Regions from separate parts of the Mus musculus genome. Here all the other regions are reported to be linked to region 1. Evidence: microRNA targets listed by miRTarBase, many of them from high-throughput screens and not tested one by one. Region 1 holds a microRNA gene; each other region holds the end of a gene's coding sequence.

Region 1 (4,094 bases):
CAGATAATAATACTTTTAAAAAACAAAAAACAAAAACAACAAAAAAACCTATGGACTGGAGTGAGTGGGTCCCGGGAGCAAGTGGGGCCCAGGAGCAAGAGGAAGAAGGGAAGGGGGGAAATGAATGAATGAATGAATGAATGAATGAATAAATAAATAAAGTAAGAAAAACAAATTTATCATACCTCTCACTTCAGCCATAAAGTGATCTATTTTTAAATACATTTCAAAAATTACTTTCCCATATATACTTAACTATATCACTCACTTGAGCTTAGTGGTTTTGTTTTTGTTTTTTTAACCTTAAAACTTTCAATAAAGTACACAAATCATATGGGAGAAAAAGTGTTGATTTTTATTATTCAAAGGAAGGGGAATAATATCAGACTTGAAGAGAAAGTCCACTTGTGACATTCTTTTCAGCTCTGTGTTCACTACCTACCTATAGTAAATTCAGGCTTGAGTATTCAGGCTCAAATTCGGATTAAACTATTCATTAAGCAGTGCAGTTTTGATTTCTAAACTAAAACCCATAGGTAACATAAAAATCAAGCGACTGGATTATAAGTGCCTGTAAAAAGAAAAACAACAACAACAACAACAAACAGTGCTTAGGGCCTTTAAAAAGATCATACAAGTGAATGATGGGCTGACCTTGTGGACCACAGAATGCCAGTTGAGACTGCTGGCTTTGTCCTGAATTAGCCAGAGGATGGTGGTTTTACAACTTTATGGAAGCTTTGAAACCAGAACAAGCAGAAATAGTGGTGAGTAGGGCTCAGATGTCCTGGCCTAGAGCACGAGATATGTGTATCTCTTTCGTTGATTTCTGTCCAGCAAGTCTGATATAAATTGAGCTGTTCTTATTTTTAGCTCTAGACAAACCTAGAGATTTTTAGTACAGTCTAAAAGTCATCTCCTTGGGCTGGGGCATAGCTCAATGGTAGAATACCTGTCTAGCTTGTGTAAAGCTCTAGGTTTAATCCCAGACACTGGGACTAGGGGATAGGAGAGGATCATGTCCTTTTACTTGAAGGATAACAGCCAAAAGAACTAGATTCTTCCTAGGCCAGTTTTTAACTTTGTTTTTCTTTGTTACAGAGGAATGATATTGCCATGGCAATTACAAAATTTGATCAGTTCGACTTTCTCATCGATATTGTTCCAAGAGATGAACTGAAACCTCCAAAGCGCCAGGTGAGCTGGGAGGATTTGCTCAGCTGCCACCTCCAGGGCCTGGGCAAGATGCTCTCCGGAGCTCCTCCCTCCCTCCCACCCAAAGCATTTCTTGTTTGTGGTTCTCTTCCGTAGTCCAGATCATCCTCAGCATCTCCTTCTACTCATTTATGGGTACTTTTAACTCAGTGCCTCTGGGGTGGGGTTGCAGTGAGAGAACAAAGTTAAAAAGACTAGTCACAGATAGTGGGGTGAAGCTCAGTTCAGGATTTCTTCATCTAAAATAAAAGCTTTTTCAGCCAGTCAGTTTTCAGATTCTAAGAAACAACCTCTTTGTGCATAGTGATCAGATTGGAGCCAGTGGCTTTTATTTTCTTACTCTATGCTGTGTCTCTGTAGTGTGATGACTCTACCCATCATCCACTGAGTCAGAACCTATGACCCCATGACCCCAGGAATCAATAATTAAAGTTCCCTAGATGCTTTGGTGTCCAGTGAAGTTTTAGAACCACCATTTACATTTTTCTTTTTAATTACAAGAACTAAGTGTCTGCCCTTCTTCTGCCTGTTCATCTCCAAAGATCACACCATTTGTTTTGTTCAGCACTTGGGTGCATATAACTTAGTTGTGATTGTGATAGACCCCAGTCCTATAGAGCTCATTGTTTCAGGCACGCAGTTTGCATGATTCACTAGGTTTAGTGTAATATGCCTCAGAGAAGTAAAGCCATACCATGTCCTGCTTGTTTTATTTTTGTTCATAAAATATAAGTGTTTTTAACTAATTATTTTGTAGTATACTGTTTAGAGTCATTTAATGACAACCATTCTCCCCATGTTGACCTGTACAAATAACCAGTCAGAAAACCTGTTGGAGAAGTGGGCATCCTAATTGACATTAATTCTGACCCTGCATGAGGGTTTTTGGGTTAGCAAGCCCTGGGTCACCTCCTTATGGGAGCAGGTTGTGCCTCACTGAAGCTCTTTATTTTTCTGGGCAGTCTTTGCTACTGTAAACATCCTTGACTGGAAGCTGTAAGGTGTTGAGAGGAGCTTTCAGTCGGATGTTTACAGCGGCAGGCTGCCACAGTCGTCCCCGGCTGCGCTCATCGGCTTTGAGACATTGCAGGTTTGTGCCCATGAACTTGTCTCCTTTTCTTGGGTTACTTCCTTTCTCTCTGAGAAGTCACAAGAACTCAGACTGTCTCTCTTCGTTTGGAGCTGATAATACCATGAGCCTGTTTTCCTTATTGGATTTTTGCTCCCATGTATCCACCAGGAGTTTCCTTTAAAGACAAGGTGGTAAGATCTGTGATGCAGTCAGGCATTGCTCTTATTGTACTGATTGTTCACTATGGGCTGCCTGCTGAATAGATGACTAAAGAGAAAGTTATTATCCTATACCAGTGGTTCTCAGCCTTCCTAATGCTGCACCATTTAATACAGTTCCTCATGTTGTAATAACCTCCCAACAATAAAATTTTTTTCATTGCTATTTCATAACTGTAATTTGCTACTGTTATGAATTTTAATGCAACTATCTGTTTTTCAGTAGTCTTAGGTGATCCATGTGAAAGGATCTTTCCATCCCACAAAGGGGTCACAACCCACAGGTTGAGAGCTGCTGACCTATACCTTCCTCCAAAGTTGTTTGTTCTTCTGGGTCTGTCAGGGTGTTAGATTTGCTGGTGGTCTACCCCATCTCCCTCTTTTGTTCTTTGGTTTGGTTTGGATTTTTGAGATAGGCTCTCCCTGTGTATCCCTGGCTAGACTAGACTGTGTAGACCAGGTTGTTCTGGAACTCGGAGAGATCTATCTGCTTCTGCCTCCTGAGTGCTGGGATTCAAGGCATGGACCACTATACTTAGTCCATCTCCCTTTAAAAGGTATACAGCAAGAACACTCCTTTAGCTGCCTGGTTTTAGTTCTTTGTAGGTGTTTGAGCTATTGATTGGCATCCTATTCAGGACAGCTGCTGCCTGGCATTTAAAAGGTTGAGATTGCTGAAAGCTGGCCTGAAATTCTAAGATAGCATTTTTTAATTCTCTGTAGACATGAAGTTTTCCCAAGCTCCAAATTGGCTGGCACCTCCTAAAGTCCTTTAAAAGTGCCTACTCTCCAAAACACACCCTCTGAAGGAGGCAGCAGTTCACCCTGCCACTAAAGCAAATGTATTTTTTCCCCTAGTCTGGAGCTGGCTGCTCATCAGTGTAGTGATGACCCTGTGCTGTGATACTGTTTGTTCACTGTCACTGTTTTTCAGTCTCAGCACTGGAGAAGCCACTGTTAGTGTGGAGCAGGTACCCTTCTGTACTGAGTGTTAGCATGGAGCAGGTACCTTTCTGTACTGACCTATTCGGTCAGGTGTTTTCCTAGGGCTTGGTGCTGATCCATCTGGAAAGGGAGACACTGGATTATGAGGCTTCTCAGAGATGATTTGGAGTCTCCCTCTCTCTTTTTTGCCATGGAAGTAAGTAGATTGTCTGCAAGTAGATGGTAGTTGAGGGTTGACTTCTCCCCGACTAAGCTATGAGTTGAAAGTTCCTTGCTCATTGAAATGTCATTATCTTTTCACCCATTTCTTTAAATCAAGCATCATCATTTCCTGCTGGCTTGATCTCCATTTGCAGAATGAGTGCTTCATAAAGCAGAAGAACCTTACTTGTGCCTCCTTCCATCACAGCAATTTGAAAATAGCCATGCTTGTCCTGACAACAGTGTTCTAGAAACTGTCTAAGTCATTATTACCTGAGAGGATGCAGTAGAAAACATGGGAGAGGCTACCTGCCTGCCTGAGAGCTTTTGCTAAAGCACTATTTTGGGTTCTGGCAGAAGTATTTAAAGAATTTGCTTTTTATCTTGGAAAAACAAAACAAAACCCTTGTTCAGTGTTGTAATTATGGACACCTAGAGCTGAT
Region 2 (4,094 bases), not on the chromosome of region 1:
CAGTCCTTTAAAGCATCACTGCAGATGTGGAGAGCCCTGGATGCTGGGTCAATACTGTGTACGGCCCTTGTTGACTGTCTCCTTCAGTCTAATGGGTTACTTAGGAAAAAAAAAAAAAATCAGAGCTACTAAGCCAGTCTAGGCTGGAAGTCCCAACCTGGGAAGGAACAGTGTCTCTCTGGTACTCTGATGCCACCTAGTGGTGGAAAACAGCTCAACGTCTTCTGTGACCTTCCACCCAGCCTGCTGCTCAGGGAAGCCCCTGTGCACCGCCCAGGATATACACAGTGCAAGCAGGACAGTGACTTTGGCTAATCCCATCCGGGGCCGTGTGTCGCCTCTCCGGGTGTCGAAGTCTACCTGGGCCCCCCCTGCGGGTCTGGCAGCCCTGCCTGCACTCTTCACCCTTCTGTCCCCTTTTCCCCCGTAGGTTTCACCATCTATTTCGGTTATGGGATCTGGCACAGTGAGGAAGCGTCCCTGGCTGCTGGCCAGGCAAAGACTCCTGACAGCAACTTGGACCAGTGCAAATGACGTGCAGCCCCACCCACCAGGGTGACAGCGGTTGACGGGTGCCCGTAGAAGCCTGGGACCCTCACAATCTCTCCACTCATGCCTCAGGATCAGCTCACACCCCCAATGTCACCAAAGCTGGTTTGCTGCCAGCTCGTGAGATCCTGGTCATTTCTGGACAGTCCCTTGGTTTACTCATCTCCCTCTGAACAAAGAAAGCAGCCCTTCTCCTTGCCGGCCGGCCGGGCGCTTCGCTGCTGCGGCCCCAGCAGAAGGGAGGCCCCCTTCTCCTCTCACTTGGGAAGCAGGCCTCCCTCCCTCCCTGGGACCACCCTGGCATCGCCCATGTGCACACTCCAGATGGCTAGTGAGCCTCTCCCTGTCAGCCCAGGACAGTCTCCTGACCACAAGATGCAAGACTATCCCAGCGAGGAAGCATGTGCCCCAACAGTGCTGCCCGACAGCCCATCAACTACAGAATACCTAAAGAGGAGGAACAGGCCCACATCTTACTGCTTTCTGGCTGGGGTGGTAGGATGGGGTCCCGGGTCTGCACAGAAGCATCTGTGCAGAACACAGCACGGTGTGAGCCGTTCAGGTGTGAGCCGCTCATCTCGAGCACAGAAGACGGGAGATCCCTGGAGTGACCAGTAGTGTCGAGATGAGACGGCCAGCTCAGCCCGCGTGGACTAGGGTGACATTCTCTGGTCTCATTCCTAGCAGGCCTGGGTTGGCTTTTGCTGCTCTTGGCGCCTTGTCCCCACTGTCCTGAGTCACTGGAACACAAGGCTGTATCCGTAGGGTTATTTCATTCTCTCGGGTCTTCTAAAGTTCTTCAGACAGGTGGCACTCAATGTGGGGTGGTGACGCCTTTCTGGCCACTGACGTGATCTGTGTGGCCTTTTACATCTAAGGAGTACTGCGGAGTCCTCCCCCTGCTGCTTGCTGTGAATCACTCCACTGGATTAACTTGGGGCTTAATGTTACCTTGGAAGATAGCCAAATCATTACCGACTGCCATATCAGCTTGCGGTTCAAGATGTGTGGCCTGCGCAGGAGATGGCTTGGGGTCCTATTGCTATTCCTCTTGTAGCTGTGGTGCCTTTGCCTGCTGCTGGTGAGATTTCCACCCTGGCCTGGACCTTATTCCCCTTCATTTCCCCTCCCCCACCCCACGCTCCATATCTCTCGGGGTGTGGCCTGAGGGCTGACACCTCTTCATTTACTCTTTGTAGATAGAAACTGCTTGAGAGTGCTGGTGGATTCTCAGAACCAGCAGGGTGCCCTTCCCCCACCCCACATCCCCCTTCCACCATATTGGGGTGGCGAAGCCTAGTGTCTTAGTCTAATGTTAATGCTGTTTATAAAGCCAAGCTTTCTTTTCTGTCTGGCTTTTGACCCAAGTCTGGTGGAAACAGGCTGAGTAGGTAGACTGATGGCCCTGTCTTTCCTCTGCTTTGGAAGATTCTTGAGAATGGAAGAGTTAGTGGGGCTGGACAGGCGTGTAGCCTAGTGGTAGCACACTTCCCCAGCCTACACAGGGCCTCAGCTTCCACCCCCAGCACTACGTATGGAAAATTAGGGAGATTAGAGAAACCACCTAATTGCTGGGTCAGCCAGTGGAGGACAGCTGAGCATCCAAGAGCCAGGCCCTGACCACCGTCCAGGCACTTTGTCTCCTAGGCTGCCTGAAAACACTGCAAAGGGAGTATTATAAGACCCTACATGTTGAGTTTCTAAAGGTATTTAAAGTTATGTAGATTGGTGCTGTAAAATATTTTGATAAATATTAACTTATTTTATTCGGGTCTTGATTACCTATTGTCTTCTTAGGGTCTGTTAAGTATCTGTCTGGGTTTTTTTTTTCCTTGTTACTTGAGAGAGAGAGAGAGAGAGAGAGAGAGAGAGAGAGAGAGAGAGGGCCCAGTGAGGTGTTGGAAGAATCTTTTAAAGTTTAGTGTCTTTGGCTTCTTTTTTGAGACAAGGTTTCACACTCTAGCTGGCCTGGAATAGGATTATCGTTGCCCAGTGTGGCCTCTGCCTCAGGCTCCCGAGTGCTAAGAGCATAGGCGTGAGCCTCCGCTCCTCCTGCTGAACTGTCTCTTGCTTTCTGGGTAAAACCTCCCTGTCTAAGGCAGCCTAACCATGTGTTTACAGTTGACGTTTCAGCCAGCAGCTTGTATCCCACCAAGGGGAAAGGTGTGTATCTAGGGGTTTGATCTGTCACCATCCCTCCTGAGGACCGCAAGCAACGGTCTATATATACATCTGTTCTATATGTTTCCCTGTGCGACACAGGAGCAAACACAGGCCCTGGCGGGGTGGGGTGGGGTCGGGGGGGGGGGCATCCTGAACCCACTTCCTAGTCAGGAAAAGATGCTTGAAGGCGGTGTGCCTAGTTAGTTGATTGGCCACTGAGCTCTTACTAAGAGTGGACACTTTTGGGGGTACACAGGAACAATGATGTATATAGTTATGCCTGGAGCGAGCCTCTAATGTGCTTTTTATTATGCCCCCAGTTCCTTCTGAAAGGAAAACACAAGCCCCAAACCCAAACAACACACACACACACACACACACACACACACACACACACACACACACACACACACATCCCTCCAGACCAACAGCAGGTGGTATCCCGTCTCCTAGCCTCCTGCCCAAAGAAGAGTCCCATTGGGTTTCAAAGCATGGCCAGCATTTCCTACCTAGCTGGAACTTAGACATTCTAAAGACACATTCCCATGCCTTGTTTACCTGCAGCTAGTATATTCACATTGAAAAGACCCATTTTTCCAGGAGCCTGTGCTCTTCCTGTCTCTGGGTCTAAGTTCATGAAGAAGCCAATACCCAGGAGTGGGGCACAAGATGTCTCCACCTTTCAGAAGGTGGCCCTGGTCATGGTGGTAGTGGTAGGTGGTGTCTATAGAGACATTAACCCTCCCACCCCACACCCCCGTGTATATTTGTGGAAGGGTGGGTGCACACCTAGGCCCATCCCCCATCCCTGCCCATCTCCTACAGCCAGGCCTTTGTGGATTTATTTTGCAAACAAAGAAAAAATGAGAGTCTGACCCGGGCAGTTTCTGGAAGATTGCTGGCTTTATTCTGTTTTCAGTTGTTCACAGTTTGGTTTTACAGTATGCAAATTCTGCCTGTCATCTGATATCCCCTCTGCTGGTGACTTGACTTGGGAACCACATACCAAGCACCTGCCTGAGGCTTGATGGTCAGAAGTGTCTGCAGGTTTCTCCACCTGCCCCTAGCAGCCAAGGGTTGGACATACCCCACCCCCAGCCCCAACTCCTGAGCACATCTGGTACAGCCGGTGTGTGCACAGCTAAGGGAATATGTACCCTGCTCCACCTGTCTACTGCCTGATGCTCTCATGCATAGGGCTGGGATTACCAGTGGCCGTGTTTGTACCTTGGCCCTAACCCCACACAGACATTCTGAATTTCGGAGTGTTCATAGTCTCCTCTAGCAAGGAACTTGCCCAGCACTGGGTAGAAGCTTGGCAACAGCAGTGTGAGAGACCGGGTTCCTAGGATAAGCGTGGACACGCCCCACGGGCTCACTCA
Region 3 (4,094 bases), not on the chromosome of region 1:
ATGAGACCTTGGCTCTGCCCAAGGCAAAGTGCAATTGATTGATTGCTGCTGATGCTGCTGATGATTGGTTTTCTGATCTAATAATAGATGTCTTAACACCTAGAGGAAATAAAACTGGTTTCTACCAGCAGTTTATTTTGTTAATTAAAATTTTAAAATTCAGTCTGACAATCTTCCTGCTCTTTTACTTACTGGTTGTATACTGGGCATTGTGTATTTTACACGTGTTCTTAATTGATTCTCCCAGAACCCAAGATAGTAAGTCCTTTTTTTTTTTTTTTTTTTTTTTTTGTAAATTTTCATGACAACGGTAGTTAAATTTAGAAATCAGAAATCAAAGCAACTAAGACACTTTGCTGTGGGCCTACTGCTCAGTCATGATAGAAGCAGCACAAAGCTGTCAACCTGTACTGCGTTGCCTCCTTTCTGTGACGTTTGAACTCACTTGCTTCTCCTTTTCCTTTGTAGCGGTGCCAGTGAAGAAGAGGACACATGAAGACTTAGCATTCCCTGCAGAAAACGCCCCTTCCCCGTGTGTGTGTGACAGCGTGTATGTAATGGCTTCTGATATCTGTGAAAGCTGCCAGGCAACAAACTTCTTCTACTGGAAATGTCCCCAGATCCACAGCAGGCACACATGTTCCCAAGGGACCAGGGGTTGTATGCATTCTGACTGTGTGCTTCTTGTTCTCTGTGGTAGGTCATGGGAAGAGCCCTTTTGATCAACTTGGAGGGCTCTTCAGCTAACCCCCCAATGGCTGCTTTGAACTTACTCAGGAAAGCCAGCCCCTGGAATATTGTGCAAGTCAACACTATCACTTCCTTAGGAAGGTTCTAGAACATCTCGAAAGGATATCAGTTTTCCTTACCTGCAAACAGAAAACAAACCCACTTTGTTTGTACTGAAGCTTAAAGCAAATGTGGCCAAGTGGGGCCAAACTGACTCAATAGGCAGTCTGTCATAGTCCAGTTCTGCCTCTGTGAAAAGTGTTAGGGCAACTGGGTTAAAATAGGGTTGGAGAAAGAGTCCAGAGCTAGAAAGAAGATATTTTTAGTATGTGAGGTTATCTAGGACTTAAGTTTCATAATTCAGTGCTGTGGAAATGGGAAAATGATTGAAAAGGTAGAAAGGAAATGACCTTAAGGACTGGGGTGAGGCACAGAAATCTGATTAAAGGTTGAAATCAGTGTTTCAGAATTCAGATTGCCTCAATTTTCCAAAATGGTCACTAAAGCATCTGATAAAACCCAGAATTCTTCGGCCAGCTGTGTGGATTAACAGGCCTGTCACAACATAAAAGGCTGGCATGTATATTGGCAGGTGGAGATTGTCACTGTAAAACTTAGCAGTTTCACTCCGAGGTTAGTCTATGGTGGTCAGTGCACTGTGAGGGGAATCCTTGTCCCTCCCTGGCAGCTAGCAAACATTCCTCTATTTACTATAATTGGAATCCTCCCTTCCCCTGCAGCAGGCCGTCAGCTCACCTCACACAGCCCAGTTTTCTCTTCATGTAGCATGTCCAGGCATGCTCCAGAGCTGGGTTTCCTGGCCTTCCCACACTCCCAGATCACAGTCTCTTACAACCATGCTTTTCAGGATCCAGGAAGTAGTAAGTGTGCTGGGAGATACCCAACTAACTGCAAGCTCACAAGCACCACATCTTCTTGAGACATCAGTTTTTCTTTCCAAATGATTTGAAGTCAAGAGATGACCATATTTTTTAATGGAACAAATGCTTATGTTATACAAGAGAATGTTCATACACCTAAAGTGCTAAACTAAAATAGGAAACTTGGAAGGAAACTCATATTTGTAAGTGGACAGTGATTCTATCTCCTCTGCTTGTGTGGTATTTCCATGTTCACTTTGAGATTTTGTCTGAACTGGATTCAGGCAGCCTTGGGGTTGCTGTTGATCAAGGTCTAGACTTCCAGATCCAAGGAGTCCACCTTGGAGTAGTACATCTCCCTTTTCCTGTCAGCCAGCTTGCCTGTGTACTTATCACAAAGCTTTAGGGGCAGCTAACATGTGTATGTACAGGATAGTTCTGAGGCAGAAACAGCATAGACTTATTGTAGGAGTCCTATTTATGTCATTGTTCAGCCCTGTGCATGCTAGAAAATGATTTATCCCTTTGAGGCCAGGAAACTGCCAAGCCACTCTGCTGTAGGCTAGGATTACTGAAACTCACCACACATACAAGGATATTGGGGCAGAGCGGAGTGTGAGATCTAAAAATATGTATACTTTCCCCAGCTGGTGGCTAGTAGATGGCTTAGACAATTTTGGTGTCTTACCATCTGTCTGCAAAGACTGGAGAATTTAATACATCTTGAGTTGACAACCTCCAGTGATATCCTGTTCTGCCAAAATTTTAAAAGAAGGGCCACTGTAGAAAGAGTGTAAACTATCACAAGATTGAAAAGACTTGACAGTTTGGAAGCTTGTCTTGTCTTTCTCAGTAATCATTGATCTTTACATGTTGACCTTATATTAGCAATGAACAGATCATTGCCTCTCCACCCAATCATGCTATTTCTTTAAATCAGTATTTGGGGAATGCAAGCATTTATGCAGTGGTTATAAACAGAAATATAAGATTTGCCAACCTGTCTCTTTAAATTACCATCTCTCTGAAATCCTCAAGGAAAGCATTTTCCCTTTACTTAGTAAGGGTTTCAGATTCACTTTATGGGCTCCTGCTGTCTTCAACACTGATAAAACTTTAACCAGAAAAGCATTAAACACAGCACAGCAGCCCCTAGCCCAGATCCCTAAGTTCCTAGTGGCAGCATTTATCAATGTAAGAACAAGAATACTTTCTGTACTGGTATCAGCTTCGTCCTCAAAGCTATGACCTCTTACTTGGCCTTGTGCCCCATAGTGAACGAAGCTTCTTGCCTTTCCAGGTCAGTGTGAGTTAAGATTGTCAGAGTTGTATGTGTCCTGACAGACTGTGGACAGCAGGGTTTGCCCAAATCATCAAGTGATACAGGTAATGAATGTCTCTAAAATAAGTTGGGTCCTCCAAACAAGTCCTGGATACCTTCTGAATGTTAAGTTTCTGAGTGCTGAGAGTAATTTGTTCATTGGTTTGGTTTGATACCGTTATATCTATCTAGGGCAGTTCCAAGAAGTGCTTGACTTCTCAGCTCTAACAGCCAGTAAGAGTAAGTAACCTTAGTACAGGCAATGAGCCTCTGTAGATGTGCAGAGGACAAGTCACTTGTCTGTAGTTGCTAACAAACAATGGAACCAGTTTTGAGCACAGCACTCCCTGCTCTGCAGTCAGCCCTCTGCCCCACACCATGACTCACCTACAGATTGAGAGAGAGAAAGGCTTTCAGTTCCCCCAGTGTAGTATGCCCATTCACACTCGGAATTCTTTTTCAAAGACATCAAGATGGCCTTAGTACTCTGCTCTAGTAGATGTTGTAAGTATTCATTGTTCCTTCCAGGAGCTGGATTTTTGGTACAGTCCCCACAAAGGAAAATAAAGGCCTTCAAGAGTGTAAAGTTTTTAGACAGAGTTGGAGGTAATGGTAGTCTTCTAACATTATCTAAATATCTCCTGCTTCATTACTATAGAAAGCAACTCTTCATGTTTTAGGAAACCCAGCTACCATGTTTGTACTCTGAGAAGGTGCCAATACAAATCACTAATTTTGGACTCCCTTCCTGGAGTGTGTGTGTGTGTGTGTGTGTGTGTGTGTGTGTGTGTGTGTGTGTGTGTGTGTGTAAATGAGAATGAGATTTGTACACACCCACATATTCTATACCACTTAATTAAGAGTTAAGTGAAGTTCAAAGCAGCCCCTGGTGATCTTACTTAACACCACAAAGTTTTCTACTAGGTCCATGAAAGTATAAACAGATAATTGGAGTGTGACTGCTGGCTTTCCAGAATAACCCACTTGTGGTAGATGTCAACTCTTACAGCTCCAAGCCAAGGTGACGACAACCCAGCCCTCTTCCACCATGTCTAATAACATGGGACATGGTAGATGCCTTGTCATTTGGTGACCTGGATCTGGGCCCGAGTTTAGAGCTGCAGAATTTATAACCTTGTAGTAGTCAGTGGTCTAAGAAGTCC
Region 4 (4,094 bases), not on the chromosome of region 1:
CTATCGTCATAGAATATGAAGAGGATTTGTTTACTTCAAACTTGAGAAAACATTGGATTTTCAAAGTTATTTTTCAAAATCCTGAAATATTTCAAAATTACTTTTCAGTTCTTTGTTGCTATCATAGAAAAAATATTTCAAATGCTAAGAATGTATGCATGTGCTCAACAAAGCTGCTTTATGCTTGTAGCTGTTTTTCCATCAAGGATCGTACCTTTTCCTTTCTATCTTTTTTTTTTTAACCTTGTGCACGTGCACACATGTGACTCTGCTCAGGCCTCAGCTCCAGCAGACAGGCAGACACTAGGAGAAGCCTGAAGGACATAACCTGATACACATTTGTGACAGTGCCAACAGCTTGTCCTTATGGGATGAAGGAACCCCGATGGGAGAGGGGACCAGAGCAAGTCATGTGCCTGGCGGGATTACTAACAGCGCGTCTGCCTTTTCCTCTCTTCATAGCTTCCTGCAGCCTCCCAAGCCTCTGTCTTCACTCAGCACACTGAGGGATGGAAATTGGAGAGACGGTTGCTACTGATGCAGTTTTACGGACCCTTGAAGAATGGGAAGAAGTGAAAATGAGGGTGTGTTACCTAGCTGGCTGGGTAACCATGGATGCTGGGATGCTTTCCCCTTCACGCTAACCACACGCACGGCATCGTTTTCAGTGGACCAATCACCAGAGACTAACGAGCTCACCTACTCTCTGCCTGAGATACTGCGGCGTTCCCAAACCCGCGGCCGCGGTATCGTTACCTTAGATCTAGGAAGTTTTTGTAGAACTGCTCCGTATCTGAATACTTTTTGAGAGAGATTGAGGCGTATCAATAATGCTTTGCCATATGAGGTTTTTAAAAGTACCTTGTTCATTTTACCTACATGTTTTAAACACCTTCCATTACATGTTCTGCATTTTAATACATTGCATATTTACAACTAGGTTCTATAACATGGTTTGAATTTTAATTTTTTATAGTTTACAGGAATTTTATTTTTTGTGCCTATTTCTTTTTATGCCTATGTGAACCACTATGGAACAACTTAAATTTTGTGCCATAAAAATATTTTTGTGGTAAGGTACTATTTTTTTAGCTCTAGGGATATATCAGCAAAAACACACCATACGATTTGAGACATAATTTTACGTTGAACGAGCACAATTTAATCTAAAGCGTTGCAAGGAGACAGCCAGACGGCAGAGTTAAACGGTCTTGTCTTTTTCATTGTTAATTTATTGTCTTACATGAGTTTCATATTTATGATGGTATCACAAGCTCATTGCACTTAAGACCCGCAATGTTTGCTACTCAACCACACAATTGATTTTCAATACTTTATTACAAAGGATGAAACTGTAATGTTTTATTAACAATGCTTCTGGAAACGAATGCATTTTAAATAAATCTTTTTGATAGACCTTTTACAAAAACCCATTTGCACTAATGAATGCTTTCTTAGGGTCTATGACTTACTGTTTGTTACTGTGTACACTGCTGTTTTGGAATGTTCGGAAATAAAGACTCTATTTCAGCAATATCAGCTCACGCATGAATGTGCAGCATCAGAAGTGGGGCTCCCACGCCCGTGTTTCATTACAGCTGGGGAAGCAGGCGCCGAGGTGGTGTTCGTGGACGGGGGCGTGGCCGACACACTCGGAGAGCCCAGTTGTAAAGATTACATTTTCTCGTCTCCACAATTAGTTTGATAAGAAATCCGAGGCTTAGCTGTGTGACAAGATTTGGTCCCAGAAAGGCCACTAAGCAGAGTCTGTTGAGGACTGGGTTTTGAATGAGCACAGTGTCACTGGGGACCCGAGCAGCCTTGGGATGTTGAGTTAGAAAACTTCTCAGTGTAGGTAAAATAGGAAAATACTGCCACTGATCTGTGAACGGCCTCCTGTGAAGACAGCATGGCTTCACCAAAGCTGTGAAGGGTGTCTGTGGTTACTCATCAGCTTTTAACTTTTCTGTACATCGTTCTATACAGAGCTGAAACAGCTTGTAGAAGTAACATTTACTGAAAATTGATAGGTACCTGGAAATGGATATGAACGAGGAAATAATAATTACCAGGCGTGTCTTTAGTGATAACATCCATGTTAGGCAGTTTTACTTACATTAATTGACCTTAAAATCTATCAGTCACACTGTTATTCCCCCTTGAAGACTCTGCATCTCAGGCAATGTCAGCCTTGGAGAGCAATTGGCTGGGAATCTGTGAAGCTGCTTTTTGTCCGTCTGACTCAGACGTCGTTTTCTTTACTACCATGTTCTTTCCTGTGAAGATGTGTAGTCAAGTTAGCATATATCATAAACGTATACACACACACACACACACACACACACACACACACATATATATATATATATATACATATATATATATATATTTATATATATACATATCAGTTGATATATTTTATTCTGAACAGAGTTAAAGGATTTAATGGATTTTCAGTTTGGCTATTCCCTTTAGGGGTTAGAGGTGAAGGTATCTTCATCTTGGATTTTATATTCTTCTTCTCGAGTGTGTAAAACCTTAAACAAGTTACTAAACCACCTTGCTCCATCCTGAGAGTCGTGGAGCTACGTAGAAGTAGCTCAGGTAAGGAAAGCAGAGAAAACATTGGACATCATAAAAATCGCTTGTGCAAACAGACAGCTGGGCAGATGTCATGAACGCTCTGCACTGAACAAAAACTTAGAGCCTCGGTTCTCAAGAGCCTTCCTGATGTTTTTCGTCTGGAAATTCTATGTAACACAAAATCGTGGATGTCTTCACTCTTCACTGTAGGATACGCATAATAGAAGCATACTTAAAGCATAATATGTAGTGGATACGTGGATGGTCGTCATACTTGGTCCCCACAGCAGTAGCTGAAGTGTCTTTGGGGGATTTGGAGAACAAGGATGAGAGTCATGGGGATGAGATCAGGGAGGTGACAGCCAAGCCCAGGTAGGCCACAGTGAGGTCTTGGACTTTCCTCTGAAGAAGAATTTTGAGAATCAATCTCTGACTTGATGTACCGTGACTGGCATTGGTGGAGAATGGAAGGGAAGAGCCAATTGTGGACAGCAACATGGTGAAAGCAGAGAGCCCGCACACCTCGTCTGCAGAGTGGCATGCTACCACTTTTGCAGTCAGTTCATCAAAAGCTTATCACTAGGTCCAGTCTTCAAGAGGAAGGAGTTATGCAAGAGTGTAAGTATCTAGAGATAAGAATTGTGGAGGCCCCTGTAGAAACTGTAAAACATTTCTGTTACCCTCGTCGGATGTGTGCCCGTTTAATTTCCAAAAGTGGTACAGCTCCACACTTTTCCAGCAGTGTGTGAGAAGGTCCAGTTCTCCCAAGGTGATGGCATTGCTGATCTTTATATTTAAATTGGAGGCGTGTTAGTGTCTCTGTGGTTTTCATTCTCATCTTCTGGGGTGCTAGTGAGATTAAATATCCTTTCGTTTTCATTCATTTATTGAATGCTCATACATATTTATTTATAGATCCTTGTTCGGGCTCATTTTTCTATGGCTTTTATTGGTTTACAATGTTTCTTATTTTTTTCTAAAAGCCCTTTTCATTTATATGTGTTTTCTTTTAATTCTCTTAGGTATTTTGATGAGTAGAATTATTTATTTACTACAGTATGCCAGGCCATTGGGATTTTTGTTTACTTGAGTTTTTACAATTTTTTAAAAGAAGACTTGTGTGTTTTCTTGTGTGTGTGTGTGTGTGTGTGTGTGTGTGTGTGTATGAGAGATGGGGTCGGAGGAGAGAGAGGGGGGAAGAGAGGGAACATTCAAACAGGTTCCTGAGGAGTCTGGAGGTATCAGAGCACCTTTCTGAGCAGTTGTAACCAGGCTGCAGGCTGATGTGGATGCTGGGAACCCGCACTGGACTGGACACTGGTTCATAAATATTGAGCTGTCTCTCAGCCCTGCCATGGTTGGTTTGTTTGTTTTTTTAAGATTTATTTATTTTATATATGTAACTATATTGTCACAGTCTCCAGACACACCAGAAGAGGGCATCAGATTCCATTACAGATGGCTGTGAGCCACCATGTGGTTGCTGGGAATTGAACTCAGGACCTCTAGAG
Region 5 (4,094 bases), not on the chromosome of region 1:
CTAAGGAGTAAAGGAAGCCTAAAATTGTACCTGATCAGCAGCGACAGACAGGCTTGCAATGCTTGGATTTAGAATGTATTCAGAAGATAATTCAAATAGGTTGATTTGGCTTATAAACATTTCACATATAATTTTTTTGCTTTTCCAGAGCCCTACCCCTGACTAGCCTCTTTCTTACACTTTCCTTCTCCTGTTGGGTAGTAATTCCTGGAAGACATCGGAGACTTGCAGGCTGGTGTTGTATTATTTAGAGTCAATTTGATTTCAAAATTGAATATTTCATCTTGTTGAATTCATTTTGAGTTTGGACTTATACGCTTATTCAAAGTGTACCTACCCTGAAATAAGGTACTTAGAGAATGTAAGTATTTCAAGGTACTGTTTTTATACAGCATAGAGTAAAACATAGCGAAATTGTTTCAGATTTTTGGCTAATCATTTCAACGAGGTCCCTATAACCAAGTGACCAGAAACTGGCTGCTCCTGTTGGATGGGGGAGAGAGCCTGATCAGGATTAAAACTCACCCTAAGGCATGAATTTGTGATATTGAGTGATCAGCTACTCATCTTGGCATATTACACAGCCCATACAGACTTTCATTTTCCAACATTGTTCTCTCTCTCTATTTTGTATAGGTACACAACAAAACATTTGAATGATGAGACTACCTCCAAGCAAATTAGGTCCATGCTGCAGTAAGAGCTGTGGAGCAAGCCCCTACTGCAGATGGAGCACACAGTGTTCTTCAGTGACCGAGAATGCACAGTCTTAGTGAATGCCATCAAATCTCCTTATTCTTGCTTTGGTTTCTTTCCTCTGTTCCTCTTCCCACTTTTTAAATCATGTTCTTGTTCTTAAGACTTCTTTTCTGTGCCAAAATCAGTAAAGTTATACTTTGAAAGGGATTTTGTCCTTTCAAAACAGGCCATCTAAGGCAGCTAATTACGCATTGCATTGAGGTCTCTACTGAGAAAAGTTCTGTGACTTGAACTAAATATTTTTAAATGTGGATTTTTTTTGAAAACTAATATTTAATATTGCTTCTCCTGCATGGCGAAACTGCCTATTCTGCTATTTAAAACCCTCATAAATTTATTTTCTACTGCCGCTTTTTCATGTGCAGCCAAAATGGAAATGTTTAAATTAACTGTGTTGTACAAATGGTACCCAACACAAAACCTTTTTTAAATTAGTAAGACTTTGTTTAAAGTTTTAAGTTTGCAGGTTGACTTTTTTTTTAAGGTTGTATGTTGTGTGTTTAACATTTATTAACTAACGTTAAAAACTGTGATGTGTGCGTAGAATATTACGTATGCATGTTCATGTTTAAGAATGGCTGTTGATAAAATAAAAATCAGCTTTCCTTTTTCTAAGTGTGGCTTGGTTTACTGAGGTTTCTGGAAGTTTTCCCTGTATATATTTCTATGGAATGCATATACACATTACATAATTTTTCTTTCTCTTAGGCAATAGCTATGTCTTTTTCAGTTGTTTTGCTTTACTTTTTGTCTATGTACATAAGTTAGACTGCTTTTAAAACTGTTGTGTATAAGATGACCAGTGATTGTGTCGACATTAACTTGACTTCTGTTCTGATTTAATCTTTGTGAGCGTAGTCATAGAAGGAAACCCGTACTTTCTCAGCTCTCGGTTTCAGGAATGAAAGGGCGGTGACAGGAAGCACATGGTGTCTCGAAGGCACGAGGAGCCCTTGACATTGGAGGAGAGTGAGCAATAAGAGTACTTCCAGAGGAAATAAATGAAAGTCCGAGATCTCACTGGTCGTAGGAAGTGACATGAGTTACAATTTAAAATCATAAAGCCCAAGGCAAAGAAATGTGTCTCAGTTGAGAGAAGCTGCTTGAAAGTTGTCGAATTCAGCCTTGTCAGGGACTTAATGACAAGGTGACCTGAGGTGGGACACAGTTAAAGTGCTTAACCATGGGAGATGATCACAGGCTGCCCTCTGGACCCTCTCCATCAGAGCGCCAGATTGTGGTGCACACGGCACTTGATGGTAAAGTTCCTGTTGACCTCTCTGGCCTCCTGCTTACTCGTGTTCCACTTCCTACCCTGCTCTCCAGCCAAGCTTAACTACTTGCTGTTTACAGATTGTTCCGTGTGGTGTTGCTTCGTAACTGATCTGGCTACAACCTGAACCTGGTCTTCCTTCTTCTCTCCTTCATGTTTGTCTGACCAACACCAGCTGTCATCTTTCAAAAATCAGCTTCTTTTACTTCCTCCAAAAACCATTTAGATGACATTGGCCATGTCTTCCAGGAGGCTTCTACAGTGTTATAATGGGTTTAATAGTTTACTCCATAAAGGGTAATGTCTGGAACCTGTACATATGGCCTCATTTTGAAGAAGGGCATTTTCAGGTGAATGTAAGGACCTATGTATGTATGGCATCGTCCTGGATGAGAGTGGGTCCTAGCCCTACTGACAAGTCCTTTTAAGAGAAAAGAAGGGGAAACAAGCAGTGGAGGTCCTGGGAGGATAGAGGCAAAGGTAACATCATATCTTGAAATTTCCTGGACCACAGAAGCCAGAAGAAGGTCATGGAACACTTTCCATCAGAGTTTCTAGAAGGAAGCGACCCTGTTGCTGTTTTTATTTCAGACTTCTATTATGATGAAAAAAATAAGTTTCTATTCTAAGCCACCTAGTTTGTGGTAATTTGTTACAGTCAACTTAAGCATTGAATACAACTGTCTCACAAAACAGCCTGATACATCACTACACTTTTATATCTTCTCTGATACTCATGAGAAGTTACAATGTCTAGATGCTGCAGAGACTGAGAACCTGAGAAGAGCCATGTCTTATTCCTTCAGTGTCTCAAGCAAGGATCTTGCATAGTACCTAAATATGGAGAGCTGCCAAGTGAGTAATTGAATGGAGTGAGTGAGGACTGATAAATGAAGTAGATGTAGTAATCCTGCTGTGGCCTTTCAGGTAACATGGTTCACACTCTGCATGTTGAAGATTAAGTTGGCAAAAAAATCTTTAACTCTAGCCTAGGGGTCAGTAGCCCAGTCGGTGGGCCAATTCACCTCCCTCTGGACCTACACAACCTGTGAATTAAGAATGATTTTTAAAATGTCGGGAGAATAAAGGATAACAAATGTTTTTCTAAAAGTTGAAAAATATTTTGTAGCATGAGAAAAGTATATGAAATTCAAACTCCAGTGTTCATAAATAAAATTTTATTGAACATAGCCTCATTTGTATATATATATTATTTATGGCTATTTGCTCATTATAGCAGCATTGAATCAAATTGTGACAAAGATCTTTTGGCCATCAGAGGCTAAAGTATGTTCTGGCCCTGTATAGAATTTGCCAGTCCCTTTCCTTGAGAGAAGACGTTGGTTTGACAGCCTGGAGTAATAGGGCACACTGCTGCAGTGATGGAGGAGCTGCTGCTGGGCAGTGAGCTCAGCCTCAGGTCTGCTAGTTTCCATTCATGGAATCCAAGAGGCATGTGGGCATGGTCATCATTTTTTTTTCTCTGCTTAAGAAACTGCCTTTAGAGTGAGTGATTCTGTGGCTGGGCACAGCACAAGCCTCAGCAAAGGGTCTGCGTGTCCACTGTACAGAAGTTGACCCTGCTTTGCAGATACTACAAAGCTTGCCTCCTTTTGCCCCTCTGCTTTTCTTAAAGGATGTTTCTATCAGCATATATCCCAGCCTACTTTTGGACCATGTGCTCCTGGTTCAAAACAGGGTAAGCTACCATATCTTCTAGCAAAGCACACTCGTGATTATCTTCATCCTCTCCTTCAGTCCCTGTCATGGATGCATGGTGCTTTCAACTTCCATTTGCTCACTTCACAAAGATTTAGATTAGCATTTTGGGCCACCAAGATGGCTGCAAGTATTTTAGGCTGATGAAGATAATTGGCATCTGTGTGCTCAAATCTTAAGTTTCTGAATTGAAGTACTTTCTTAGATTTGAAATGCCTTTCTGGTTCTGTTTGAGATTTCAGTAACTGGCATGCCAGAAATTCTTAAATAGCCCCTCAACTGAGTGTGTAATCACAGACGACAGTGGAAAGACTTGTGGGTTCAGAACCCTGAGACCCAAGAT
Region 6 (4,094 bases), not on the chromosome of region 1:
GTATTAGAAAAGTAGCAGACAGACAATTTTCCTGTTTTCATTCAAAACTGTGTGGGTAGTTAGTGAACAAAGTTACTCTTTAATTATGTGTTCTGCAGTATGTATACACAAATCCTTTCCTCCCCTCCCTCTTCCCTCTCCACCTTGCTTTCTTTTTCCTTTGACAGGGCTAGGAATAGAACCAATGTCCTTGTAATCCCATCAAGTCCGTTGCCACTGAGCTCTGCCGTCTGTGGTTTGCAGATGGGCAACAGTCTGCTGCTGGCTTTCCCTTTCTTTATACTGTGGTACTTTGTGCAGGGATGGCTCCTATACACTGACTTTGGAGAACACAAGAGAAGTTTAGGCTGAAGCTGAGTGAGCTTTTTGCATCTTCCCAGTGCAGCCTGCTTTGTAGCCTCACGTGTGCTCTTCCTTCTTCTCAGGTGCTGCTACATCTTCTTCCTCCTCTTCTCCCTCGTCCAGCTCCATCACAGCTGCTGTTATGTTGACACTAGCTGAACCATCAATGTCCAGTGCATCACAGAATGGAATGTCAGTTGAGTGCAGGTGACAGCAGGACTTGCTAGAGCACTTTGCACTTAATGGCTGTTGAGGGCCACATCTTTTTTTATACTGCACAGTGGCACACAAACACACAAAATCAGACAAGCACTATTTTATATTTAAAAATTATTTCTTGACAAGCTGACTTGGCACTTAAGTGCACTTTTTTTATGAAGAAAAAGTACAACGAACTGCTTTTCCTCAAGCAATAATTGTTTCCAACTTGTCTGGGAATTGCGTGTGTCTGGTAACTTGAAGGCCTTCCACTGTGGCAGAGGAGGCTTTTCACTGCCTGTAGAGACGACACAGTAGGCAGAGAAAAGGTGGGCCAGAACATGTGAGAAGACTTACTGTATATGTATTCCCTTGTATTTTGTTAAAGCTGGAACATTTGATATTTTTCCATTCATTTATTAAAAATATGAACCTATTTTCATTTGTACAAGCTAATTGTTTTTTAAAGCAAGTCACTTTAGGGTGACTTTAATTGTATAAGTCAAGCACATGTAACAAATTCAAGACTTGCAGTTAGTTAACAGGATATTATTAGACATCATCCTGGTAACCAAATATTAAAGATTCTCTTTAAAAATGACTGAACATGTTTACAGGTTTGAATTAGGCTAAAAGGTCTGTGGTGGCTTTTCACACCCCTTCAAATTGAAATGGGACTACTGTACTTTGCCATTTTTCTATAAATCAGTATTTTTTTTTAATTTTGATATAATACATTGTGTGAAAAAAGAAAATGGCTAATAAACTGTATTAAATCTTAAACAATGTATAAAGATTGTACTTAGCCAGTTCAAAGTGTATATTTATTCATAATGAATTATAACAGTTATATTTTTGTGTTTTCTTGTAAATGTTTCTTTTCCCTTAAATACAGATAATTCATTTGTATTGCTTATTTTATTATGAGCTTACAACAAAAAGACTTCAGGAACAAACTGTTAGAATGGTTCAAGGTTGTTTATATGACCTGCCTCACAAAGATGGTTATTATTTTAAGTATAAGTAGCTAGTTGGGTAGTAGGCCTATACAATTCAATGCCTTGTATAAACTGCAGAATGAACGCCAAGCTGTTTTCACTTGTATTGACTTTATGTTGTATGATTCCAATCTCTGTTTGGCACTTGTATTTAATTCCCCACCTTTGTAATACATTTGTATATTGCGGATGTGTTCATTGAGGCTATTTAAAACCTGGCGCTGTTAATACACAGTACTTCACTGTACAGACCGTTTTACTGTTTTAATTGTGATTCTGTGTGCTTTTTTTGAATGAGGCTGGCATGTTTTATTTGTTTTCTGGCAATACATGTGAGAATCTCGAAGCGTTTTGTTGTAGATGCTAACGTGTCAGAATCCTTAATCCTTTACATTGAACCTTTCTAAGAAAAGCATTTTCAGTCTTGTAATGTGTGCTTACAGTAACTAATTTTGTTGAAAAATGATTTCAAATTACTCAAATTTGTACAGACTGTAAAGATTTGTTGACAGCAAAATGTTGAAGAAAAAACTTATAGAATAAAACTATAAAGTATATATTAGGATCTGCAAACATGATGAATTATGTAATATATTGTACAAATGTAAGCAAAAGCTCTGAAATAAAATGCCATAGTTTGTGAATCCTTGATTTTGTTTGTAGAAGGTAAAGTAATTTGAGTTCACTTTGTATGTGATGAGTGCTGAGAGTCCATGCAGCCTGTATTACCTATCACAAGGGCTCACATCCGTATCCCAAAGGGAGTGTTCCGCTGTTCAAAATTAAAAGTCCCTTTATACAGTGCTGGGTTGTATAGCATGTACTTAGTGTGCTCCAGTCCTTGGCTTCAGTTCGCAGCACTGCACCAAATCAAACCGTAAATTCAAAAAAAAGAAAAAAAAAAAAAGTAAGTAAAGTGATGTTTTTAGGCTGTTATTATATAACTTTGCTAGAGTCTGAATACAGATTTTTTTGTTACAGTTGGGGGGAGGGGGGCATTGTCCAAAGAAGGAAAAAGGTAAGTACAATTTTAAAACTATATTTTGGGGCTAGCAGAGGTAAGCACTGATGACCAATCTTGATTTATCAATCCCTAGAACCCACATAGTAGAAGGAAAGACTGTCTCCTGCAGTTATCCTCTGCATTCACATACACAAAATACACAATAGAAAAGGATGTTTCTGCAGTGTATAATGGCCCATACCTGTAATCCCCAGCCTCAAGAGGTTGAGGCAGTTAGATCTTGAGCTACAGACGGAGTCTGTCTCAGTAAACAAACCTTGTTTTTCCTTTTTCTTGAGAATAAAATTGCTATATTGCCCAACCTGGTTTCAGTCTCACAGATTCTCAATTCTGCCTGAGACTCAAAGTGCCAGTATTATAGACCAGTAGTTTCTTAAAAAATTTTATTTTTCTCAGAATTATTACCTACAGTGTCTCTTGTCATTTAATATGATGGAGCCTTTCTGGCTCTGCTTTGAGTAACACCTCTGTACCTGTTACAGGAATCCAGTAATCATTGTTAAACCAGCCAGTATGCCTCTCCCCATTTCCAAGGTGCCCTAATTTACCTGATATATTGTATATTATCTTTTAAAAAAAACACTGAAGCAATTTAATCTGTAATCTCTCAGTGTAGAGTCCTTTCTTATATAGACCAAGCTGGCCTTCAACTCAGATTTACCTGCCCCTACCTCCTAAGTGTAGGCATTAGAGGTGTGTACACTACACCTGGCCTTAAGCCACTTGCTCCCAAATATGTTCATTGTGGCACTTAAGGAGGAAGAAAGTGGAAGAGATGGGCTTATAGTCAGAGGGTCTTGAAAGTCATCTAACAAATTTGTACTATATCACTGCAACCAGTGCGGGGGTTAGGTATCAAAAAATGTGCTGCCACTTGAGAGGAAGGGGGTGGTAGCACAAACTCGATGGTGTTTCAGTCAGAGCCCAGGAGTCTTCAAGACTCCATAGCTTGCCTTTCTCCTCTTACACAGGTAAGAAAACAAGGACCGACAAAGGGGGAGTCTCAACAGAGTGCTGCATGGCCCTTGTCATTCTCTTTAGTATTCCTTTCCCCAGCTGCACGTAATACTGATGGCTGGCAGAACAGAGGTGGGTTCCTGGCCAGAAATTGCTCTTGCTTTTGAAGACAATCTTGAAGAATGAGGACAGTGAACTTGTACCTGATCCAACTGACTCCTGTACCTAATACTCTTGAGCTTCGATGCATCACATCTAAACCATGAAGTTGAGGCATGAGAATAGGTCTGAACAGGCTAGGAGGAATGTACACACTCTGCTGCAGTTTGATCATTGACGTGTCAATTTAAGTTGGCCTACAACTTACCCATAAGGAGATGATCGCATGCTCATGGCCAGCTTTTCAGACTTCTTGTACACCCAAGTCCAGGTTTCCCTAATCGGCTCAGGGCAGCACGACAAACAGGAGACCTAAACCATCAGTTCCCCAGCTCCTGAGTCCCGATCAGCCACAGCCTGCTTGGAGAAGGGTTCAGAATGGAGGGACAAGGCCCCATCTCGGAAGTGACTGGAAC

What was found. Region 1 holds the annotated microRNA mmu-miR-30e-5p (UGUAAACAUCCUUGACUGGAAG, at 2,188-2,209, shown strand). A microRNA usually pairs through its seed, bases 2 to 8, with sites in the 3' UTR of a target mRNA and lowers its output. Matches are read on the target gene's strand: a 7mer-m8 pairs with bases 2 to 8, a 7mer-A1 pairs with bases 2 to 7 and ends in A, and an 8mer does both.
Region 2: the mRNA of Slc7a1 is a reported target of mmu-miR-30e-5p. Seed matches in the 3' UTR shown: 8mer at 2,662-2,669 and 7mer-m8 at 3,264-3,270.
Region 3: miRTarBase lists Trim44 as a target of mmu-miR-30e-5p. The part of its 3' UTR that is shown has no 7-base or 8-base seed match.
Region 4: miRTarBase lists Slain1 as a target of mmu-miR-30e-5p. Seed matches in the 3' UTR shown: 7mer-A1 at 976-982.
Region 5: the mRNA of Cyrib is a reported target of mmu-miR-30e-5p. Seed matches in the 3' UTR shown: 8mer at 2,104-2,111.
Region 6: the mRNA of Arid4b is a reported target of mmu-miR-30e-5p. Seed matches in the 3' UTR shown: 8mer at 1,149-1,156.

Annotation. Positions count from the first base shown.
Region 1 is chr4:120,770,775-120,774,868 of GRCm38, reverse strand. It overlaps Mir30e (microRNA 30e), which reads left to right and starts at 2,172; the gene lies at 2,172-2,263. Nfyc (nuclear transcription factor-Y gamma) reads left to right here. Exons shown (of 10, transcript NM_008692.4): 5 at 1,102-1,197. It overlaps Mir30f (microRNA 30f), which reads right to left and starts at 2,263; the gene lies at 2,172-2,263.
Region 2 is chr5:148,328,880-148,332,973 of GRCm38, reverse strand. Slc7a1 (solute carrier family 7 (cationic amino acid transporter, y+ system), member 1) reads left to right here. Exons shown (of 13, transcript NM_007513.4): 13 at 431-4,094. The coding sequence ends at 534. Among named protein-coding and RNA genes, the nearest start is that of Slc7a1, 69 kb to the left of the region's middle.
Region 3 is chr2:102,300,879-102,304,972 of GRCm38, reverse strand. Trim44 (tripartite motif-containing 44) reads left to right here. Exons shown (of 5, transcript NM_020267.2): 5 at 469-4,094. The coding sequence ends at 496. Among named protein-coding and RNA genes, the nearest start is that of Gm34268, 56 kb to the right of the region's middle.
Region 4 is chr14:103,703,374-103,707,467 of GRCm38, forward strand. Slain1 (SLAIN motif family, member 1) reads left to right here. Exons shown (of 7, transcript NM_198014.3): 7 at 463-1,534. The coding sequence ends at 538. Among named protein-coding and RNA genes, the nearest start is that of Slain1os, 6.0 kb to the left of the region's middle.
Region 5 is chr15:63,928,222-63,932,315 of GRCm38, reverse strand. It overlaps Cyrib (CYFIP related Rac1 interactor B), which reads left to right. Exons shown (of 13, transcript NM_001360036.1): 13 at 637-3,222. The coding sequence ends at 700. Among named protein-coding and RNA genes, the nearest start is that of Gsdmc4, 18 kb to the right of the region's middle.
Region 6 is chr13:14,197,181-14,201,274 of GRCm38, forward strand. Arid4b (AT rich interactive domain 4B (RBP1-like)) reads left to right here. Exons shown (of 24, transcript NM_194262.2): 24 at 426-2,423. The coding sequence ends at 553. Among named protein-coding and RNA genes, the nearest start is that of Gm26129, 110 kb to the left of the region's middle.